Linked DNA regions of Lepisosteus oculatus. The protein of the gene in region 1 interacts with the protein of each later gene in a pairwise test. Links are inferred from orthologs where the notes say so. Each region holds a gene or a part of one and is shown on either strand. Other genes may lie near its edges.

Evidence for each region.
Region 2: the proteins of uncharacterized protein C1orf94 (region 1) and rad51d interact in binary tests that used the Homo sapiens proteins (3 or more experiments, as listed by UniProt). The two-hybrid records come from large-scale screens. The link is inferred for Lepisosteus oculatus from reciprocal best matches to the Homo sapiens genes C1orf94 and RAD51D.
Region 3: the proteins of uncharacterized protein C1orf94 (region 1) and banp interact in binary tests that used the Homo sapiens proteins (3 or more experiments, as listed by UniProt). The two-hybrid records come from large-scale screens. The link is inferred for Lepisosteus oculatus from reciprocal best matches to the Homo sapiens genes C1orf94 and BANP.

The regions. Positions count from the first base shown.
Region 1 is NC_090706.1:1,999,050-2,007,387, forward strand, and holds the start of uncharacterized protein C1orf94, read left to right. Parts: upstream 1-5,143; 5' UTR 5,144-5,174; coding exon 5,175-5,232; exon of another isoform or gene 5,233-5,584; intron 5,585-5,698; exon of another isoform or gene 5,699-5,775; intron 5,776-5,890; exon of another isoform or gene 5,891-6,487; intron 6,488-6,566; coding exon 6,567-6,861; intron 6,862-8,338. Other genes in the region: csmd2 (CUB and sushi domain-containing protein 2), read right to left, coding at 3,140-3,323.
Region 2 is NC_090721.1:1,695,433-1,703,636, forward strand, and holds the start of rad51d (DNA repair protein RAD51 homolog 4), read left to right. Parts: upstream 1-4,796; 5' UTR 4,797-4,850; intron 4,851-5,151; coding exon of another isoform or gene 5,152-5,154; exon of another isoform or gene 5,155-5,409; intron 5,410-5,522; exon of another isoform or gene 5,523-5,769; intron 5,770-6,216; 5' UTR 6,217-6,228; coding exon 6,229-6,310; intron 6,311-6,975; coding exon 6,976-7,037; intron 7,038-7,649; coding exon 7,650-7,768; intron 7,769-8,204. Other genes in the region: tmem248 (transmembrane protein 248), read right to left, coding at 143-428, 2,573-2,749, 3,489-3,500. UniProt on the Homo sapiens protein: Involved in the homologous recombination repair (HRR) pathway of double-stranded DNA breaks arising during DNA replication or induced by DNA-damaging agents. Bind to single-stranded DNA (ssDNA) and has DNA-dependent ATPase activity.
Region 3 is NC_090715.1:13,363,925-13,371,628, forward strand, and holds the start of banp (protein BANP), read left to right. Parts: upstream 1-4,296; 5' UTR 4,297-4,433; intron 4,434-7,704. Other genes in the region: pdcd2l (programmed cell death protein 2-like), read left to right, coding at 547-660, 1,324-1,478, 2,052-2,182. UniProt on the Homo sapiens protein: Controls V(D)J recombination during T-cell development by repressing T-cell receptor (TCR) beta enhancer function. Binds to scaffold/matrix attachment region beta (S/MARbeta), an ATC-rich DNA sequence located upstream of the TCR beta enhancer.

The DNA of each region.
Region 1 (8,338 bases):
CCCAAAGACATGCTGAAAAGGTTATTGGGCGTTTGGAAAAATTGGGACCTGTAGCGAGTAAGTACGTGTTTGTGTCTATCTGTGCCCGGTGACGGACTGGTGTCCCATCCAGAGTGTACCTTGCCTGGTGCCCGTTGCTTGATGGGAAAGACTCCAGCTACCTTGGGTCACTGAATTGGATGAAGCGCTTAGAAAATGGACACAAGAACTTGCACATTCACAACCTATCCCATCGAACTCTATCACGGAGCAAGGAACAGTACTGGATTACAGTGGGATACCTCTATCCTTCGTTGATATTGCGTTTTTTCTGGATCTGTGTTTGTATTTTCATGTACAGTAACAGGTTTTTTCAAATATTTTTACACGTGCAATATATTGTTCATTGTTGTTCACACTTTTACGTTACAAGAAAGCACTTTTGTCTTTGGTTTTACATTATACCATTTGACGAAATTATATTTTCAATCATATGATTGTTTGTTTGGGTGTAACTGTCTCTGGTGCATCTATCTGATCAATTCAGCTGTCAAATTCCAAGGAACATTCAAGATCTTTCGGCAGGAGACGCCACTTAGCATTTTCAGTGATTTTAACTGTAGGAGCGCAGAAGACACGTCTGCATCGGTTTCGAGTTTACTAGGTTTAGTTCTAAGCTTCATTTTATTTTCACACCTGTAATACAGCACTCGCGTCTGAGAAAAGGGCTCTAACGAAGCTTTAGTGCCGCACAACGGGAGAGGCAGGCTACTGCTTGCGAGAGCGAATTCAAATAAAATCGCGGAGGAAGGCAACGCGCAATTACACTGCTTCTATATGCTGTGAGACAATAAGGCTATTTATACTTTTGAAATCGCAGTGGAAATTGATTAATAAGCGGCTTTCAAATTCTCTTACTCATTAATCGGTTTAAGGAAAGTAATGCTCTTCTGAACAGATAAGTGGACGACGTGCAGTCTCTGTCTCCATCCTTCTGCGCGCTCCGAGGAACCGGCGAGCTCCGGCTTTAACGCAGAGCGCTTCACACGGAGGCAGTCCATTCATCCGCCCATCGCTGCCGTGACAGGAACATCTCGCATTTGCTTTCTTTGCATTTACAACTAACTCCGACGCATTTCTTTTTTTTTATTATTTCACCCACTCTCTCCGGTTTTTCTTCAACAGCAACAGGACTAGGGAACATCGAGCCGCGGCGTCTGAGAGAGGCGCATTCACGTACAGTAACTGTGTGTGAAGTGGAATCCTCATTATTTTATTTCGGGTTTGCAGTAGTAGGTGATATACAGATCATAATCCTGGAGGCATTTTTGACAAATCAAAGAGAAAGAAGTGTGATTTCTTTTTTTTTTTGCGGACGAAGAGTGTTTGATGTTTTCCTACTGTATGTCTGTCCTTTCATCCATTTTTCCTTAAGCTCTTTATACCCGGAAGCTCGTGGGAGCCGGGCACGGGCAGGAGGCAGGACCACACCCTGGGCACCTGCAGGCATGGCACCAGTGGAGCCACCCAGCTGGTCTCCGGACTCCAGAGCAGCCGGAGACAACCCACCTGCCAGCGCAGAAGTCACAGTCCAGGAGTCCCAGCTCTAGTCAGGAGCTAGCCGCCACGCCGCCCTCTTTTCCCCATTATCAACTACTGTATACAGTATATTCCCTATAATTCGGTAATACAAATATAGTATTTGTTACAGTTAAACGACTGACGAAGTATTGAATAACTGCACTTTATTTAATAACATAAGACGTGTTTATTAAATAAAGTGCTGGAAAGTAACACTGTGGTCCAATGAAAGTGCAGTTTCAAATCTCAGATCAAGCCTTTAATCACCATCAGGGTATCTGGCTGGTGGTTTTATCCAAAACGACGGACCTTGTTCCTCTGTGTACAGATGCGTAGTGCATCACGAGCGCTGCGCGGCGAGTGGCCGTGGTCCCGCTCACACCAAGCGCCTTCGCGTCAAGGATGCGATACAATAAATTAATAACGAGCCTGTAAGGTGACGTAAATCACTGCTCGTAAACATAAAGAGTGACTTTTCTCCGCGGGAGAGTGTTTGCCCGACTGTTCAACGCCAGCCGCGCTCCTTATACAGATACATGGGAAAGTTATGGCGCACAGTATTGATATTAAAAATCAGGCAAAAAGCTCTGTAAAAACTCAGGGTAGACGCGTGCCTCTTGGGGAATTTAATTTTAAAAATAAACTCCATCGTGTCAACACGAGATTGAAGGAGGGACTTCCATCTCTCCTTCGGCAAACAGAATGGTGTACCCAACTCAGCCTCCAGCAGCCACTGCCTGTAACTGGAGTGCGTTATTAAGAATCTGCCGACAAATTTCTCCGTTCTCCAGCTCACACATACTGTATATACACATATTCCACCACCACAACTCCTATACACACCCGCTTCCCCACTACTACTGTAGATTATTAACATAACAGCAGCAACAACAAAAAGTTCATCATCTTAGCCTTCTTCTCGCTCATACACAGAAAACTATTTTTGGCAAGATCGCAGTACTGAATCTCTGCCATTCTTCCAGTCTTCTGTGTACTGTAGAGATTGGAGGAATAGGAGGTTTTTACACAAACCCGACCACATTTAGGACGGAGGGGGTGGAGTTGGGGGGGGGTTACAATCGGGCTTGGACAGAACAGACCAACATGCGAAGGACACAGCAAGTCCAGCGTGCACGACCGCTCCTTCAGCGCACAAGCACCTGTCTTCTATAAACAGGTAAACGGGGTGCCATGCTTATTACACCGACCGAGCAGGACGACGAGCCAATATCACGAAACACGGGGAAAGAGATAAGAACGAAAAGGGGTTTTAACCGCAGTACAGCGGAAGTTTTCTCCCCCTCTCCCCTTTAACACCCGTTTCATGCCTTCACCAGAGAATTCACGCTGGATGCTGAACATAAGCTATTGTATCCAGATAATGGAGGATGTCCGAGGCACCGCGTTATGCGTCCGGTGTGTTTCAAATCTATTTATCTCCGAGGAACTTAACGATGGATTGACAGTAAATAACAGCCATCGCTAACCAACAAGCGTACAGTACAAAAACGCCGTCTTGTCGCACAGGGTACTGCTCCTGACTTCTCCCGCTGGCGGAAACGTGAAATGGGCAACTTACCCTTCGCAGAAGAAGCCAGCAATCCCATGTACAAGAAGAGAACCCGGCTCCAGTAGTGTACCGGCACTTCCACCCTCATTAGCGCAAAAATCCCCAGTCTGTCCAGTTTCCTCGGGCCGCTGTAAGAGCATCTACACGCAGTCCTTACCAGTCCTCTTCCCTCCGAATTCAAAGAGGCTCTCATGGCAGAAATCTGGCAGCGACGCTATCAGATGGTTTGAAAGGGAAGATTCACTTTGTATCGGCGCTGAGAAAAATCCCAGTGCATTGAGGCTCCGCTCCTGCAGCTGGAATGAACCATCTCCTGCAGATCCCGGGGTTGGGAAATCTCAAGCCAAAAGATCCCCCCCCCCCCCCCAAAAAAAAAAAAACCAAGAAAAAGACAAGAAAGACTTATCTAGCCGAGATCAAGGCTCATATGTACTCCTCCCTTCTGGAAATCCGGGTTTTCTATTTTGTGTTTTAGGTAGGGTTAACCCGCCTTCCGCTCTGCTCTTCCTTCGAAGATGGACAGTATTCTTATTTTGATGTATTAGATGAACGAATAGGATAATCGCTACTGTTCATATCCCCGGTCTCACTCCGGTGTGGAATTATAACGCTGCTGCCAATTAAGCGCTGATCAGACGCAACTGTGAAGGAAAACCGATGCCTTTTATCGACAGTAAAGTTTTCCTCTTCTCACACATCTTGGGATTGTCTCTCAGCGGAACAATGGTTCGTTTCTTTTCCAGCTTCTCCTGGCCGTTCGTGATTACCGTATTTCACGTTTTATCGACGCTGCTGTTGAGCGCGGAGACTGCGGAGTGCGGCTTCTCCCCTCTCGCGTTCTCCCTCTCTCTCCTTCGAGTATAACCCGCCTTATTGGTGATCGTGCTTAGCCTATCATAAGGCTTCGTGTCCTGGCGCTCTGCTCGTTCACATGATACTTTTGAGATTGATAATCATACGTTTTAAATGAACGGCTGACCACGGAATGCGTTACACAGGGGGGTCCCCAGGGCCCGAGCCCGCGGGCCGAGACGCCCCCACCTGCCGGCGTGCAGCGCCGCTGAGCCCGTTACTGATCTCACTCTGAACCTTCACGGGTGTTTTTTTTATATATACTGTATATACAGTATATACACCACTCAAAAAGACAAAAGAATGTGTTAAAACCCAGACTGCTCTTGTGCACAGTACACGAAAACGATTGAAGGTATCAGTTTGAGTCCATTACGTATACCGGTTTCTGAGGGATCCACAATTATACTTTCACTTTTCCTCGCAGGTAAAAGCCCATATACAGTATGAAAAACACCTGGCCACGTCCTGTATTGGCACTATCTAACCATTGTGTTCGCCTTACGTGTGTAGAACTGAAATGTATTAATTAAATTACAGGGCAATATCTTTTATTAATATTTGACGGTTTCTGACAAGAACACGAAACCATCATCTAAAACCTGAGTATCGTCCTGGATATCTGATAACACTAAATACTGTAAGCAGTGCATGAAACTTGCAGTATTTTAGTCGGCATTTATTTTTTCATTGGAACACAAATGACCGTGTTGTCAGAATACACAGACGCATTACAATGTGAACGCGTTTACAGTGGTTTACAATTTAGAGTGAACATTATTGCTTTGTACTTGAATCATTTATCATACTCTGAATTATTCACTGACCTCGGAGCAAGAGCAAAGTGGAAATAATTTGAAAACACGCTCACGTTTTTTTTTTTAGTACAACAAAGTTTTTAAAGCAATTAATATTTAACAAGGAGAACAAAGGGAACTATAAGGTTAATACTCTCTGCTCCTCAAAATGCAGTACATTTATTCAAAACAGCGGGACCCAGTAGCTAAAGATGAAAAAAAATAATAATTAAATGTGTAAAGATGATTAAGCAGTGAGGTCACACTGTAAGCCACTGAATCACAAAACGTATTTAGCTGACATCGTACGTATTGCTTATGGAGTGAGAAAGCTTTATCGGATATACATTACACAATGCATATATACTGTACATTTTAACGGTAGCACTCAGAAAATGCCCACGTCTAGCATGTACCGTACATCACGCCCCCAAACCGCCGGACGGGCAGGAGGTAGGATTTTCGATTTTCTGCGGAGAGCAGTAGAATGTGCTTCAGCTGCACTCGCCGCTGCCTCCGGGGAGTAACAAGGACTCGAGAGTTCATCTGTTTTGCACCCGATAGATAATCAAAGTCCTTTGACTCCGAGCATTTGGGGACCCTGCTCGCTCCTGCTGCTGGTCTGGCACCCCAGCTGCACTATCGGGGTATCTCCGCTGGCTCCACCAAAGTCGGCCGAGAGGAATCGTGCCAAAGCGCAGCAGCGGTTTAACTACGGTGCTGAACCAGCCCCTACAGCTCCCATCACCGGTCACACCCCAGTTTCCTGTCGGAAATACTACAGTTGTCACTTTGGATAGACGTGGTAGTATAGATCACAATAATGCAATGCTATTCATTTGTAATACTGATATATTTGGTTAAATGAACAGTTAAGTGCGTTTAAAATGATCTGTGAAACAGTTTTCCGCTCTTCAAGGCCAGACAGCCTCTACAATTGACGCCGAACACACGCCAGTGAATTTCAGTGTCATTTGCATTTCTTCGCCGTAACAGGTAATTAGTTTCCTTACACCCCTGACGATAAAGTCATCCGGTTAATGAAATGTGTCTGTCTTTAAACATAATATTCAAATAGTGTCTACGTGCAGAGTCAAGAATTCATACTCACAAATTATGCTAAATAATGCCTAAAGTGCCCGGGCAACGCCAGTGTGGCATTAACAAGTCATTTAATTGTTTCTTCTCGTCTCCTCTCGGGACTTTGTCTTCCCCTGGCACTGCCCGCTCCAGACCTCCCACGACAGAGAGCTGACAGGTTTCTCCCTGCCGCCATCTAGAGCCTCATGCGCCCTCCGCTTGCGCTTTCTGCGCTCATGCTGTAGGTACAGGGCGAGCAGCTCTGTGACGCCTGTGAGCGTATTATTCATTGTTTAAAACTATGTTTAAACGGCTCCTCGCCATTTCTAAAGCTTCCACTTGCTGTCCGAATTTATCGCCGCACAAAGGTTGTAACCGGGTCTGTTTCGGGAGCTGGAAAGAAAGTATTGTTCTGAAGTCAATTATTTTGAATACCCTTTTCGAGTTCGTTCACTGCCCCTTCTCTGCGAATGTTGCGCTCGTTCTGCCTCGTTGGGCTTTATCCCTCTAAGATATTTTTCTTTGTCGCTTTTGAATTCCCGTGTTATATTCATTCCTATCCATCCAGATTGTTGTGTTTAAATATACCGGCTGTACATACTGTAGTACACGCGCACTTGCACGTACTGTAACCTGTTGTCGCTCAAACTTCTAATACACTTGTTGCTATGGTTTCCTTTATTGTTGTTATTATTTATAAATCACAGATCGAAGAATTAAACCCAAACATTCCATTGGTGTGGTCGGGTCTTCAGGGTGGTCAGCAGCCCAAACCAGCTTCACTAAAGACACTCGAGTTTTCAGGAAAATGTTCCCGAGAGTGGATCGCGTTAAAACCAAGCGCCAGCTGAAGAGGGCCTACGCGGCGGGTCCCTTCCCTCGATCTGTGTGGATACACGACAAAGCGCCCGAAGACGACTTGGATAAAGTCTGCTATGAAATATGGAAGAGGGTTCAGGTGGCGACGGCCGGCTCATCGGCACGGCCTACCGCTGCAGACAGGTACCCGTCAGCCGGACTGAGTCTAGCGCCGCCAACAGCGCCGGGCCGGCACCTGTGGCCGTGAACTCGGCCGGCCAGCAGGGTCGGGAGCGTGTGTCCAAGTACGGCCTTCTCGGCGCGTTACTGCGGGGTCACAGTAGATTCAAGGTTGGATTTCTGGAGAGAGGGCCAAGCTTTTATGCCGCACGTGAGGTTTTAATTTGAGAATAAAAAAATAAGGCGGTCAAGGCTCAAACCTTGTGATTGAGTAAGGGTCATCCTTTAAACCCTGTGTACAACTTTTATTTTATTTTTTAATAATTGATTGCAAATTCATTCATGAGCCGTCGTGCCTGAAACGGGAAAAAAGCCCCTCCTTCCAGCGGCGAGCTCAGTTCAAGCTAAGGAAAAAAAAAAAGTTCAAGCTAAGGGTTCGCCTGCAGTACAGTAGAAGCACAAACGGCGAAGCACCGGCACCAGTCAAACGTTGGAGCACAACGTGACCATTTTTCTTACCTTTCCCCCTTCTTACAAAGTTGCTAGAGCTCCGTTTCTTCCTTTCCTCAGTGGTGCCAAGGCTGCACTCGCATGTTCCTGTGCTGAGAAAGGAGCACATCATTCAGAATCAAGGGACTGAAGAGAAACGCTACAGATCATAAGAGATCTGTGGAAAGACATTAACTTGGAAAGCTCATAGATACTAATTCACAGTCACTGGAAAATATGAGCTACTGTATCATAACTATAGTAATTAGAAAGTCAGTTGTTCTGAAATGTACACCTGAGAGTGGACGCCGGACTCACATCAGGCATTGCAGATGCCTACAAGGAATGGACACAACACAGGACTTCCAGCATTCAAGATAAACTGTAAAAAAAAGTCTGGTGAACTAACACCAAACTGAATCACTTATTACAGCCGTTGTTTTGCTTTATGTACAGTAATTATTGATAACAACAGCTGGAGTTTAAATCGTTTCTAAATCCTTTTCATACTGCTTGAAATTTTCTGTAGAAAGGGCAACTCGTACGTTTTTTGAAAAACTATCTCTTTTTCAGAATTGTCTTCTTCAAATTCCATTATTACAGTGTATCACAGATCTGCAGGGAAAAAAAAACTGGCCAGCTCGCTCCGAGCCTGTCGTTCAGGTGTGCGCGTGTGTTGTCATCGAGCCTGCTTGCGGGTGCTTTTCTGTTGTTTCTTGTCTCGCCTGCTGAAGCTCAGGCCCCTAATCTCCCACACAAACAGTGCCATCTGTCCCCTGGCTGCTCAGGGAATGCCACCTCTCAGGTAACTGTGCCCACGTGACTGTGCCAGCGCATCAGCTGGAGAGCTCCACAGCTCAAACACAATGTGTAACTAACAAGAAGTTGTTTCAAACTCATTCTAAGGGATATTTTCTGCCACTGGGATGAAAACTTAATTTGATCATTTATTTTGTACAGACAGATAAACTGTTATGTTTTCTTCTGCCTTTTTTTTGTCTGATGACCAATA
Region 2 (8,204 bases), on another chromosome or scaffold:
TTGCTCAATTTTCCTCAGCCTGATTCTAGAACAGGAGTGTATTTTTTTTTGTAAGGTGCAAACCAAAACTGCACACAGTTCTAGCCGCGATCCTCCTAGTACACTGTTGTATTTTAACACGGGTGCACACTCTGGGGCTCACCTGAAAGGCCGACCTGCTGGCCCAGCACTGTGGCGTAGAGATGGGTGATGTTGCGGGAGTAACCCCCGAACGGGCGCAGGGGGTCAAGCGTGAGGGTGATGGGGACAGAGATGTTGATGGGACCCGAGTCCTCCAGCAGGGGGGGGGCCTGAGTGTTGAGCCGGGCCTGGCCGCTGGTCACGGTGCTCTCCGGCGTAGTCGACTCATTCAGCCCATGCTTCAGGGTCTCGTTCTCCGAGATACAGAAATCCAGCTCGTTGAAGCGCAGCAGGAAGGTGTTCCAGTCCTTGCAAATTTAAAAGGCATAAATGCTAGTGCATGCCTGCTTTTCAATCCACGCAGATCACAGTTCAACAACGCTCTCACAGTTTTATGAAAGTCACAGTTTTAAAGGGCATGATGTTTTGATTTTTACTTTCATTTGAAACTTAAATTTAAATCAATGCTTTTCCTCCTAAAACGTCTCACTTTCTATACACACATAAAAGGTTTTAAACATTCGTGGAAATGAACAATCCGGCTCAGCAAAAAGTATACGGAGCATCAAAATAAATACTCAATTTCTGCATGCATGCTTTCCGAAAAATAGAGCAGACAGATTTTGGATACTGAATCAATGGATCAAGTGTCATTTGGATTAACTGATCACTCACGACTAACTTGAGTGACTTTGAATAAGCAATTAACAACCTCATTAGTGAAAGCTGATTGGGGCCATGTAATGAAATGAATTAACCTGTTGAACTTCAAGCATTCTGGATCAATACAGAAAGCAATCCACATGCCTGGCTTATCAAGAGAACAATATCTTTATGCCATTGGAATGCTGGGGGTTGGAATAAGTAGGAGCACCACTGGCATACTCCAAGCCAGCAATTTCTATCATTGCAACATGTTACAGCCAAATAAGGTCTAGCAGTTAAACTATACGAGATGTCGCAACACTCTGCCAAGATTGACATTTCCACGCTCTGAGTCACTTTTTCACATTCCGCCGCATCGGGAACGCCAGGTAGCCACAGCTGATTGAAGATGACCTAACAGGACATCGTTACACTGATCAAGACTGGGAACCTCACTTGAAGCCCATCCTGTGGGCTCACCCTGATGGGACAACATGCCAGCAGCACAAAGGCACGCTCTCATGCTTCTCTTGTAGCGACAGCAGAATTGGAAGATGAGAATGTGACAGTTATGCTGTGGATATCTTCTTGCCAGACTTCAGTCCGACTGAACATCTGTGGACAAGCTGGGACAATATGTGGCATCAAGGGTACAAAGAGCAATCAACAGGCATGTTCTTAAGGCTGTAAGAGGAATGAAGCAGAATCCCACAAGACAGTATATGCAACATAGTGCAAAACATGCAAGACAGACATACAAGCTTGTATTGCTTCTGACTGTGGTCATACTACTAGCCTGTGGATTTCAGAGTACACCATGTGTTAATCCATGCATCCATGTCCTAACCACTTCATCCAATTCATGTTTGCGGTGGAGCTGGAGCCTATCCTGGCAAGCAACAGGGACAAGGCAGGATACACCCTGGATGGGACGCCAGTCTATCACAGGGCACACCCAGACACAAACACGCATACTCATACCAGGGCCTATTTTCACACAAACTCCACAGAAATAACACCCCAGGAATTGAACTAAGGGCCCCAACGCTGTAAGGAAACAATGTTAACCCCTGCTCCACGAGCTTCCCGCTATGTTAATGACAAACGTTAATAAGCATAGCAAATTTGCCTATATCAAACTGGAAGTGCACCAACGACAAAAAGCTGGTAGTGCTTTGCATTTTTTTTCAAAGGTTATGTATCTTTTAAAGCTCAGAATAATTCGTGTATAGTGGATCTGTCAAATGTTGGATGATAACTGATAACTTCCAAGGTTCAAATGTTAACGTTCTGAAAAACAAAAACTAGAAGGGCCAATCTGGGGGCTGATTAGTTACAGAAATCACTCTGCAGCCGGTTTCTTGAGTGTGCATCACATCAGTGAGGTAACGTGGTTTTGTAACCTTTTTTTGACACTTTCAGCTTGAAAGCTCTTTAAGATTGTCGTCAAGAATTCTGTGAATTCCAAAGGAGAAAAAAAAAAAATCCATTACTTGAGCCAGAATGTGCTAGTACAAGTGGCGCTGCCTGGGTCTGATCTGGCAATCTCCCAGCTCTGGGCCCTGTTCTGTCCTCCCAGGCACAGGCCCATGCCAAAAGAACCAGTGAGAATCCCTGCAAACCACTTTTACATCCTTTTATTTCATCTGAAAAGATGTCTAGCATCTACCTTTAGCAAGAGGAGCTCAGTAACAAGTGAACTTAGACAAGAGTATGCAACCAATTAAAATAAAACTGACAGTGAATCATTTATTGCTAAATATGCCAATGAATGTTTTACTGAAGAAGCAACGGGGAATCCTCCCACCTCAGTCATCTCTGGGGATTTGATCTCCTTAATTTTGAAGAAGTAGCCGATAGTGAGGAAGGCAATGGCCACAGCACTTACACTGACCATAAAAATGACCAGTGGAGGCCGGCTACTGATGTAGGTCTTCAGATTCTCCAGGGGATTGATGCTGAGCATTGCTCCTGTCAAATACACCTGCAAACACAAAGACAGTCAGTTCACACCAGTGCTCACCAAAGCAAAGCAGCAAAATAAACTGCTGCTTGTGAGGATCAAAGATCTTTCCAACCCGATAGCTCCCAATTTTATCACTAATGGCCGCGCTCTATCTGCATCCTCACAGAGGGGTTTCGGAACTCGTATTGCACAACGACATCTGAAACCCAAATGATCCAGAAACATGGACCACTTCTTCCCCTTTTCTTAACAACAGACTCATCTCCTTCTCAATTCATTTGCAGAGTTCGGTTTTTCACACCTCTCCTCCTGTTCTCACTGAGTTTGGACACTCGTTCTCACCTGCTTCACAACCGCCCCTACTTAACTACTCTGTCTTTTCTTCTCTGCCTTATTTATCTGCTAGTTCCCCTCTCTCTCTGTTACACCTGATGAAGGCTCCTCAGTCGAAACCTTGTGCTTCATTTCTTTACCTTTCGCCATGCAATGAAACCTGTTCCTTTACTGCCTACAAGGACAGATTCCACAAAATTCAGAATTTGCACTTAATTTACATGTTATTACATGAGAGCTTCTTTGACTATTGTCTATTGTAAACTGACTGGACCAACTAAAATGAACTATTTACTGTTAAGATATACTGGATGGTGACAAAATTCACTGAAGACCTACAGAGCTCCACTGCACAAACATTTACTTAAGGGGCCTGCTCTGCTGAAGAAAAAAACACTTTTCAAAGGAAAGGAAATGCACCTACATGACTGAACATACAAGTGTGTGGTGGACATTGAAGAAACCACAGAAGCTTTAAATGTCAGATTTTCTGTCCAGTGGAAGTTGACTCTTAATCTGGTACTGAAGAGACTATTTTAACTCTTAACAGAATACATATCTCTGCAAATGGAGGATGGCTTTAGACTAATAGACGTTCCTAAGCATTTGTAAGCAAATGCTGAGGAAACAATGCTAAAAAAAACAAAACAATTAAGCAGCCACAGAATGCATTCTTTGAAAAAGAAAGCTTTCACCTGCAACAGCAACTGAACCGCCCTGCAGAGCTGTCTGGTCAGTACAGTGGCAAAGCTACAGCAGAAAGGTACGCTAGACGAAGGAAATAGAGAACAACTAAAACTAGCAAGAACATGAAGACACGGGTCCACACATCTTTATATAGAGAAATAAAAGAACCCTTGAAAAATAGAAAAAATGGGTATAGGCATTACAGAAGAAAGACTGCCATCACAATAAAACAAATGCCCAATAACACCTGTAAAACACAATAGCAGGCAGTCGTACTTCCTAGATTACAGGTCATTCCGTCTTGCACTGCAACACCGGAGGGCCAAAGATTTTAACAGAAATAGCTTTGTATTAAAAAAAAAATACAAAATCCTTCGTTCACAGTCATTATTTCCACACACTAGGCACTGAGTGCAAACTTCCACGCGTGTCTTTCGTTCACAGTAAATAAAAAAGACTGACACCGATGTGTTGGCTCCTGTCAAGAGCCTGTAATTAAAAGTCAACTGTCATAACACCCGTGGACTTGCCTTTTAGTCTGTCTTGCGATATTTTCTTCCTAATGACAATTCAAAGCTAAATAATACATTTCCCCCCCACGTTTACTAAAAACAAACCACGCAGATCTCGCAGTAACTTCCTCTGAGCGCCACCTGGTCAAAAGGTCTCCCGACAGCTGACGATAACTACCGTTTACAAAGGCACAACTACAAAATGGCCAGGCTGCTCACTAACTGTGGCGTACCTGCCTGCATTTAAATCCTAGGTGATCTAAAAAACCTCTGCTCATGTACACCGGCAAGGTGCGACCCTGACGCAACCAATGCTGTCAACAACGTTAAAGCTCAAGACAAAAGTGAGCACAGTCAAACCACTGCGCACATCACCATTAACACGTCAATACACAGACGGAGACCCCAGTGAAGACACGTATGGTTTTCTTCCTCTGTGAGGAATGAGCACGTATGTGAATGTCACGCTTAGGGGTTGTTTTCGAGGGAGTGCGACGCCACCAAAAAACAACAACAACAACAACAACACGATATCAGTTTATCCATGAAGTTTCTCGATCAATTTACGACGACGGGCATTATGACGGGTATTTGTAAAGCGCCACAGTCAGTTGTTTTTATTTGTGCATCAGTGAAATACGTCATATTTATTATCTACAACATCCTGCACTTCCAGCCAGCTTGCTGGCGAACACGCAGCAGCCCGGCCTTATTTACTCCTTTAATGCGTTTCAACAACCGTGGGGAGGGGAGGGAAAAAAAAGTCCCCCCCCCCCCCCCTCCCAATTGGTGGGCTTATTCGAGCAGCGCGTTTCAAAGCGAACAGCTCGCAACCTCAAATACCTGTCGGAGGCGGATTGCTGATTTGCCATGAAGACAATTACTCACCATTTTTCTTTCCTTGTGAGCCGCGGCTTGCGAGTCGATATTAGATCCGGAGAGTAAATTTCGGCCTCACGGGACAGTCGGAGCTTATAGCACTGGAAGGGCCGCTTGCCTCCTGTCCCATTATCTGCCCGTCCCTGCCAGCCTCGGTTCCCAGTTCACTTTCCTTTAATACTCAAGGATGTTGTTTTTACTCTTCTCGCACCTACTGCCTGCCGAGCCTTGCCTCTATTTACCGAGCTGACGGCTTCGTCGCCACTGCGCAGGCGTACGCCATCTCCGGCCCTATTCGCGAAACGCCCCTGCGGACTCTACGTAGGAATCGTCCCTTGTCGTCGTCCCCCGCACCGCTACGCCAAACCCGCGCCGCTTTAGTCGATTACACACGCCCCTCTTGTTTACGGAGTTTTTCTTTCCGGGATGACGTCAAACTCTCACTTTCAAACAGGAGAAACGCTTAGGAGGGCATGTCGACTTAACTGGTACTGACATCGACACAGGGAATTAAAGCGCTAAAGGCATTAGCACACTAAACTGCCATTAAAACCTGAATTCTTCTGGGAGGGAAACTCTCTTTTCTCTGCTAGAGGGTGAAGCGCGAAGCCGGACGTTGCCCAGTTGGTAAGGATAGCAGACAGACCACGTTCAATCTTTTGTGCTTCGCAAAACAACATCCCTTGACCCACTCTGCAAACAGCTTTAGACAATTTAAAGTTACGAGTTTATATTCACGGTACAGTAGTACGAGCCTGCATTTCAGAAAGCATTCCCCTCTCCGCCTGTGGCACATGGGAAGTTTGAAACTACCAGCGCTGTGAATCTGGTTCTGCATCTAGCCTGATGTCGATTCTCTTTTCAAGAACCTCGCTGAAAAGAGTACTAATATTACCATGATTTTTCATTAACAAAAATATCCACAGTTTGATAACCTAATGGTACTGTGTTTTTTTACGCTTCACTTTATAAACCATATTATGGAACAGCTCTGAACTTGCAGTGGATGCAATGTGTCATCTATTTAATGATTTGTACAAATTAATCTTTTTAATGGTTCTAACTCATGCACAGCTGCCAGGAGCCATGGTCTTCCTCAGAGAGGGCCTGTGTCCCGGCTTGACTGAAGAAGTGATACAGGCACTGCGGACCCAAGAGATCAGGACAGGTCAGGATATTGATCACATGGCTGGGCACTGAGACAGTATTGCCAGGAACATTTTAACTGATGTTATGTTATACTGTCCTTTGCAAGATGTACAGTATCATGGAAAGGAACTTTTATTTATAATTAATCTGTTATTCATAATGGGTAAATATCACATACACAAATATATATATATATGTATAATTATATAATTATATTCCTTCCTTTAATGATTATAAGGTGAAAATGCAACATTGAGTTTAAATTCCATTAAAAACCTGGAATATAACCAGGAAAAAAACACAACTGATGTATGTAAAAATATTAACTTATTGTGTTCAGATTTGTTATTATCTGTATCATTGTATTTTTTTGTTTGATCTTTTTGGCCGCCTTTTCTCCTTTGTATTGTTTCGTGTTTAATAAACCTTAAAAACATTTTATACTGCAATGAAAAAGTAGATCCTACACTTGTAAAAAGCACATTTTGATATTAAGGTATCTGTGCTAGCTATACTAGTGGAGCAGGTAGATCTTTGTGACTCCCACAAACAACCAAAACATGCATTGTATATGTCCAGACCGATAAAAGCTTTTTAAAATAGTCTTGGGGATCAGTCAACAGAGTATATTTATTTTGAATATGTATTAGCAACCGAATCTAAGTTGACACAATTTACATTCAGTGGAAGACCTGGTCTCATCAGAACTTGAGGAACTTGCTCAGAAGTGCTCCATATCCTACAAGGTAGGAAAAAACATGTTTCTCCTCAAAACCTATAACCAACAGGTTTATTTCCCGCCAGTGCTGCTTAATTGTGCAGAGCTGTGCACACGCTCACACCAGGGCCAGTTTTCCCAGGGGCCAGTGAACCTGGCAGCTTGTCTTTGAACTGTGGGAGGAAAGCGAAGCACCCAGCAAAAACTACGCAAACTACGCAAACATGGGGAGAACATACAAGACTCAGGCAAATAGCACCCCAGGAATTGAACACGAACAATGCTAACCACTGTGCAACTGGGCCGTCTGCTTATCTAATTAAGTGCCTTAATTAGGAGCTAATTTGCCTTCCTAGTCAGGCACATCGTCAACCTCTTTCAGCGAGTCGTAGCTTGCTAGGACGAATGTGTAGTGGCGCCCACTTTCAGGCACATGTTTCTTGGGCATGATGCATTCCAGTTGTTCTCTCTGCACAGCACCTAGGCCTACTGCAAAAACATCTGGAGCAAATGTTAACTACTGCACTGCCATTCTGCACATATGGTTAATCACTGCTTTTTTAAGTGTGTTACGTGTCCGTGGTAAAATCAATGTGGCTTTATAACCTCATTTTACATGGCTCTTCCCCTTGTGTTTTAGGCGCTGGTAGCTATACGCCGTGTCCTCCTTACTCAGCACACTGGCTTTCCTGTCTCGGGAGCTGATCTCTACGAGGAGCTGCTGAGCTCCATGGCGATCCTGTCCACAGGAAATGAGAGGTGAGGGGCCCTTTCTCTTTCTGGGCCCTTTCTCCGCGGCTTTTACCCAGTGGAGAATTTCAACAGCGAGGGGATTCACCCAGGTTACATACCAGCCAGACGACAATGCCAGGGGGGGTCACCTGGCATCTAGCACAGCCTGTTACTCCCAATTTTCATAAGGTATTGCCTCATATATATTCAGTTAGCAAGAAATGAATATAAGCTTATGAGTTCGCAAAAATAACATTGCTGAGTAATAGCTGAGCTATGCACTGGACTATTGGAGCCGATGGCTTCTTTTAAGAAGAGATCCTTGAATCAATTACAATAGCTGCTAACAATCACACAGTCTGAACAGTCTCCAGTTGTTTGTTACCTTTCTTATGTCCCTATGAGACAGTCGCTGGACAGTCCCAGCTCCGGCCCATCTTTCACCAAGTTTCTGTGGCTGCGC
Region 3 (7,704 bases), on another chromosome or scaffold:
AGACTAGGCAAATGAACAGTGCAACTGTGGATGATCAACTAGTCAGGATTTCGGTTAAATGTTTTATCTCAAGGATGGAAACCTCCTCCAGCACAGTCTGTGCACTTCGCACACTGGGACATTAGCTTGGAAGTCAAGGTCTAGAGGGAAGAACTCACATTTCTGATATGTCAATATGTCATTTACAGCATCAACTTGGTTTTCCTAATACATGAGATATCTTTTCCCCCTGCTGGCCAATCTCAGTGTTGCTCTGCTTTTGAGATCTGCCTACACGGTAATAATGTTGCTGTCTAATTGTAAGATGGGAAAAGGGTCAAAGCGCTTGACCTGACCTGACATTTATAAACAATCTCTCTTCCCAAAAAGTACAGAAATAAACATAAATGAAAAACTTCTGAACAGATTAAGATTCCACTGCAAATATCCATTTAAAAAGTCACATTGATTCCTTTCTCACACTGTTAACTGCAGCTGATAATATAAGTCTTAAAAAATACCATTAAGTACCGAAGTTGAAACCGTGTTTTCATGTCGTCATTTCAGCTGTGATGCTGGAGGGGAGGTAGAAAAATACGAGAAAACTAAAGCCAGGCATGGGGACAAGGAGTTCTTCAGGTTCATGAAGACGATCTCGCTGTGTCCAGGGCAGGTGTTAAGGTAAAGAGACTTTTCCCGCATTCACACTTTTACAGACAAATGAAAATACAACCTCAGATCAGAGAGGTTTTGGCAGTGTTGATGGCTAACTTCACTGCATCATGCACATCCACCATTATTCCATGAATCAATGCAAACATCACTTAATTTTCACTGGATGTCATGAATTCCATAATCCTGCGAAGTGCAGCACTATTTTCCAGTCACAAAACATACAAATGACTGGCAAGAAGATGTATGTGAACAGTATGTATATTTTAGTATTTTCAGCTTTGGATTAGTGCACAACTTAACACTTAATTGTCAGAAGAACTATAGAGGCGTAGGGTAAAAAATTGTAGTTTTCAATAGGGCACCTTCACTTTCAGAGAATTACATTAATTTAGATTTTTTAAGCAAAAGCGCTTGCCAGTAAATGAATTACGGTAGGAAGCACTTACACCCATGAGTCACTTTCAAAGCTGTTTGACTGTGGACTCCCAAGATTCCAGAGCAAAGGTACTTCTCTCAGGCATCTGCCAAATAATAATTATACGGGAAGTAGTTTTCCTGGAAATGTCAGGCCTGTAAAATTACAAAGCACAGGGCAGTAGTGGGTGGGGACAGAGTAATAAGGATCCTTGCCCGTTTGTCTTTATCAACCACAGCTGTCCTGTTTTGCAGGTATTGTTGGAATGGGCAGCCCGTGTTCATTACCTGCCCTCCCTCCCACATGCAGAAGACGGTCCCCCCCTGCGCTCACTGCGGGAGCCCCAGAATCTTCGAGTTTCAGCTCATGCCCGCGCTGGTCAGCATGCTCCGCGGCGCCAATGAAGACGGTGGGTGTCGGATTAAGAAGGAAATCTTTATCCAAATTGGCAAGCAGGATTTCATTGCTTGGGTAGAAAAAGATGCATAACATGCAAGTTTCCAATGAAAATTCAGGAGGGGTGACAGCAGCCAACTTCAATTAGCCTAAATCTTAATCCTGATGTAATTTCCTCAAGTTAAAAAAACTGGAATAATTATACCTAAGTCCCTTCTCTCATTTGCATTAGTCTTTTTACATCCTTTTACCCCATTTCTACATTCGCAGCTGCTTCTAAGTTCACACCTCCTCTCTACATGGGGGGCTCTCTGTCTCTCAGCCAGGCGGGTTAGGCCAAATTTACTGTGACTAGCACTCTGTATTTTTTCAACACACTTAATGCTCGGGTGGTGTTATTCCTGATGAATATCAAGCAAAAGCACAGACCTCAGTGAAAAGTAGTGTAGAGAAATTACAGAACTTGTTCATTGTTAAAGGCAGCTTGTATGGTTTGAATTTCATAGCCAATCCTTCTATTCTCCTGTGGTCAGCCATTGCAAACACCTTTGTCTCTGAGACACTGGCTCTTCTCTTGCTCCTCTAGACTGGACGGTGGAGTTTGGGATTGTGCTCATTTACACCTGCAGAGACAGCTGCTGGCCATCCAGAAACCAGACACCAGTGGAGGAGTTCCCTTTTGTACAGGCAGACCCCGATCAGAAATTGTTCAGATAGAAGTGTCAATAAAAAGAAATGAAAGTCCAAAATGTTGTGTTTTGACCTGCTTAGAAATTATCACAAAGGTCAAGTGACCTTTGCAAAGAAGCAAAGCAATTACATGCATACATAAACATTAACCTTACATTCAGCAAACAGAATTATAAAACAGATGCTCACGATGGGAGGCTTAATAACTGAAGCAGGAGAATTTAAAGTTCAAACAGCATCAACGGTTTGGATGTAGGATCTTACAAGATTTCATGTCTGATCTGCATTGCTAACCCTGTTCAGCCCGGGGTTCAGAAACCTAAACATTTTCAAAGTTAGAAAATTAAGAAATCATGAACACATGTTAAAACTAATAAAATTAAGCAAGTGTGAAACTGCAGAGGGAATTAACTAATTCATATATTCATTGTAAAATGTTAAATGATTTCACCTAAAACAAGGCCTCCTGTGTTGCTATAATTTTTAAAAAAAGATTTCAGTCTTTTGTTCAAAATACTAGAATTTGTCGTGAATAATTGCACAAAAATTGCAAGCGAGTAAATGATAAGCAACAACCAAGTGAAAAAAAAAATTCTGCAAATAAAAATAGAATAACTGGATTGGATAAGAGGACATCCCCTGCCAGTTCATACCTGGAAGCACCTTTTGCTTGGTTACAGCCTGAGGTCTGTTTGGATACACCTCTACCAACTTTGCACACCTAGAGGGAGGAATATTTGCCCATTCCTCCTCACAGAATATTTCAAGCTCAAACTGCGTGGTGACTTGATGGACTGCCCTCTTCAAGTCAAAGATTTTCGATGGGATTGAGGTCTGGGCTCTGACTAGACCACTCAAGGACATTCACCTTCCTGTCCTTCAGTCACTGTATGGTTGCTTTGGTGGTGTGCTGTGGGTCATTGTTACGTTGAAAGGTGAACCATCTTCCCATTTTCAACTTCCTGGCCGACGGCTGCAGGTTTTCTTCAAGGATTTGCCTGTATTTTGCACCATCCATCTTCCCTTCTATCCTGAGAAGTGCCCCTGTTCCAGCAGAAGAGATATACCCCCACAACAAGATGCTGGCACCACAGTGCTTTACTGTAGGAATGGTGTTCTCTGGGTGGTAAGATGTATTGGGTTTTTGCCAGACATACCATTTTGTATTCTGGCAAAAAGGTTTGATTTTGGTCTCAGCTGACCACAGCACCTTTTGCCACTTGGCCACAGTGTCTTTAAGGTGCTTTTATGTGGCTTTTTTCTCGCCACCCTTCCATACAGGTCAGTTTTGTGGAGCGCTTGTGATATTGTTGTCATGTGCACACAATTGATCATAGGTGGGAGTCAATTCGTTTGTTGTGTGATCTGCAAGGTGATTGGTTATACCTGAGCACGTTTACAAATGCAGTTGTAAAGGGGGTGTTCACTTACCCAAATAAGGTATTTTACTGTTGTAATACTAATTAATTTTTTAGAATGCTTTAGAATTTTATTATCGCTTGGCTAATGTGGGTTACCGTGTGTAAATAAAAAAATGGAACAAGCCTCGTTTAATTTGTTTTTATTTTCAGTGTCATGCAACAAAAGGTACAAATTGTGAAAGGAGGTGGTGCCTTTCTATACCCACTGTATGATGTTGCAGAATGGTAAACGGATTTGCAGGTACTATAACCTCAATATAAGCTTTTGCATGTCTTTTTTTTTTAAAGGAATACGAACTTACGACGAGACCTGGAATACCGTTAAGTACTCAGTAGTTGATTCTACCCCAGTACACATACAATCTTCCACATCGCCTAAAACAGTAGCCCTTGGACCTGAACAAAACCCCGAACTTCTGATGGACACAGAAATAAAATCCCAACGGTTTGCTCGCATCACGGTACGAGTCCTTGTCCCCCACAAAGCACCTCAACGTCACTCGTTATCTCCGCGGCTCGTCTGCAGGGCTCCGCGCCGAAGTCGAAGCAGTTTCGGAAAACCAGAGAAGTTAACAGGGCCCCCTTTTTTTTTTTTCGTGGAAAGGTGTCGTTGTTGTTGTTGTAGCCACACAGGAAGCAAACGGAAGGCGCCCGAAACGGACCGGCTCGCCTACACCCGCCGGCCCCGCCCCCTCCCCGCAGAGCGCCCGAGCCACTGCGCCGCCGCAGAGCAGGCAGCGCGAGGGGAGCGGAGCGCGCAGGAGCCGGCCTGGGCTCTTTTTTTTTTTTCCTCTCGCGAGGAAGGACGCCATTATCGGAATCCCTAACAAACAACACGAGAATTCATCATTCACACGGTAATATAAACCGAACTGACGCTGCTGGTATTGTGCTGCCGGAGTCGGGCTGGAGACGGGGGTCCGAGCGATAGTCATTTTCCGTAGAAATATTGTCCCCCCCCCCTCCCCGCCTTCTATGCAGAATGCATGTATGCATTTTAACATTGTGTTTCTGTTTGTACCAGTAACCTTACGATAGACATTTTAATGTCTCTGTTCATTGCTAAGTGCACTGGAGCGCCGGGGCCTACTTCAAAAGTCTCCGTGTAGGCGATCTTCCCCAGTGATCGCCTGCTGTTAATTTTATTTTGTGAAACCTGTGTCTTCATATTATTATTATTTACTCGATAGGCATTGCTGTCAAATAAAATGGAGTATTTCCGCTGTTGCTCCTGAAAATATTTTTCCGCTTGTTTTGTATTTTATACGAATGTTGCTGAACTCCATTTGCAACCATATATGGTTGGTATTCCTTCAGATATTTTTTTTATTTGTTAGGGTGATATAATTTTGCAAAAGCAAGCGAATTTACATGCTTTTGGTCATGCCAGGCAAGTGAGATTTTGGTGTGTAAACGACTTTTGCACGTCGGCTACGATGGACGTTTTTGGTTGCAAAGTCAGATTGGTATGTCTTGATTGATCAGGTCTCTACAGACCTGCGGTTGCTCTAAGACACTTTTTCGTTTTTAAAACGCTTAGCAAAGACGAATCGTGAACACATTTTTGACAAGCCACAGTGTACGCTTAGTAGCAAAGCAAACTACTGTATTTCTGGTATATCCTACCAGTTGAGTCGTCGTTTCATCATTATTAGTCGATGGCACATTTACAGTGATGATTATTTTAAGATACTACGTTTCTTGCAGGGGTGACTTTCATTAAGCAAGCTTTTATTAAATTATCTCCAGTGGTGTTGAGATGGCTTTATAACTTAAATAGATTTTTTTTTGTAATGATCGTGTCAAAAGCAAATATCAAATATCACGTTCTGTAATATATGAAGTGAAGAACTGCAAGTTCGTGACACTCAATTTCAGGCCTCCTACAATAGATTAACCTGCTGTGTAAATTATATCTCAGAACCACCTGAATTTTGAAATATTTTTTTTACTCCTGCTACTGGTGTGTTCTGTATATTTGTTTTTCAGTTATTGCTCAAAGCCCTCCAAAATTGTATTTCCTGATTTGTTTTGAAAGCAATTAAAAAACATTTTATTCCCCATTATGGCGCTGATAGATCAGTAATATTCAGCGTGTACTTACAATCACACACGGACATATTGAGTGGATACAGATTTTTAGAATATCCTGTACATTTGAAGAAGGCTGGGTGGAGCATAGTTTAGATGCTGGAGAAGACAGGTTTTGCTCCCTTTTTCTGTTCTTTCCAGCGTGGAAATGCAGCTATACACATGGTAAACGTAGATCTGAATGAAGTGGTCTTACTGCCTTTTGGTTTAAGGAAGATGGCATTTGATTTGCAAAAAATACATTCATTTTCATTTTGTGGACTTTCACGTGTGGTGTGTCAGGAGTGTCCACCTGTGCCGGGGCAATTTCTCATATTTTGTCCCAGATTGAGGGTGATACGTGGTCCTTGTCCACCCACACACACACACACACAGCAGATGTTTTCCATCAACACACCTTCTGGGTCCTGCTCCTTGATTCTCAGCACTGTCGCTCCTTAAGTCTGTGCCATGTGCAACCACAGGAAATGATTAAGAGCAGAAGATAAATTGACTTGTGTCGAGAGAATGTTTCAGCTTGTAAGGTTTCGATGGAAATCAGGTTTTTGTCTTATTTCTGTTTGGAATATTACTTTTGATGGGGCGCCATGGTGGTTAGTATGGGTGCCCTGTGGTTCCCGGGCCCTGAGTTCAGTGCCAGTCTGTGTAAAGTCTCCCCATGTTTCCATGAAGGGCGCTCCACAGCTCCACATGCCCTCCAAAGACGTACTGGCTTCGTTAGTTGGTGTCTGTAATTTGTGCCTGTGTGTCTGGGCATACGTTGTGATGAACATACATCCTATCCAGGGTGAAGTCTCTTACCACAAATATGTGCTTTTCTGATGATGGATAGATGGATGTTCCTGGTGTATGTGGAGAGCACAGATTACAGAGTTGTATGAACAACACTACATAGTGACGCATTACCTGTAACTACAAGCCCTTTAGTGGCCTGTTAGGATCACAGAGATGGAACCGATTTTGACAAAACAGCAAGAAGTGATTTCAAAGTATTGTTTTGCTTGATTGCAAGCTGTCCATTGTCATAAATGAAACTGATCTGGCTAAATTTTGGAATATTAGCCCATGTAGGCTTGCAGCAACAGGACCATGTGTTGTTCTTGTGTGAAAAAGGCCTCTAGAATTGTTTTATTACACAAAAGTTATGTTGAACTTTGCCTTAAAGAACATCAGCTGGGTGGAAAGTAAGATGCACAGCACTGTTTTGTTTTTAACTCTGCAAAATATTCAGACACAGGTCCTAACCTGCATTTTATCATTTCAAATAAAGCTCCTCACAAAGTATTCTGCTGCAACATTCATTCTGCTTGCATTGTAACTGTTCTTATGTTGTTATGGATAAGCAGTGCTTAAAAATAGAATGTTATGTAAGTCACGATGATATTGCTTTTCCTAGTGGAAAGTGTCACTCAGTACTGGAGAAATAGAAAACGTGCCAGGACTAAATAGTAACCATTAAAGAACTGTCGTTCTGGAAAAGCATTTCTGAAGTTGCGGAGACAGGCAAGTGGGCAGGTTTAAGGAAAGAGAAACTGAAAGAGTGGTAGTGGTGAAATTAATTAAAGAAAACTTCCTTCAACAAGTTTAGCTAGTCAAGATGTTTTTATAAATTGAGTAGCTCTTCAACAGCTCAATCAGTAATGATGCCTGCATGGCAATATCCTGTCTTTAACTGTGGATAACTGATAACTGATAAATAGAGCATTTTGTTATCCATCTGTTCTAGGGCATATATGCATTCATAACTGAAGACACAATAATGAATACATTATTTAATTTTTAAAACATAAAGTGATGTACGCTTCTCATCTTGCACTATGTACTTTAGTGTTTATTATTAATATTATTCTAACTTTCCAGAAAATCAAATTAATGCAGCTGTCTGAAATTACAAGCAAAATACGTTCTTCACTCACATCCCTCAGATCCACACAGGCTTTTTTTTTTAAGGGGTTTAACAATTTACAGTTGCTTATTGTTTCTCATAAGTTCTTCCCCTCTTTCTCTGGGATCTCCGAGGTAAGGATGGCGTTGTTT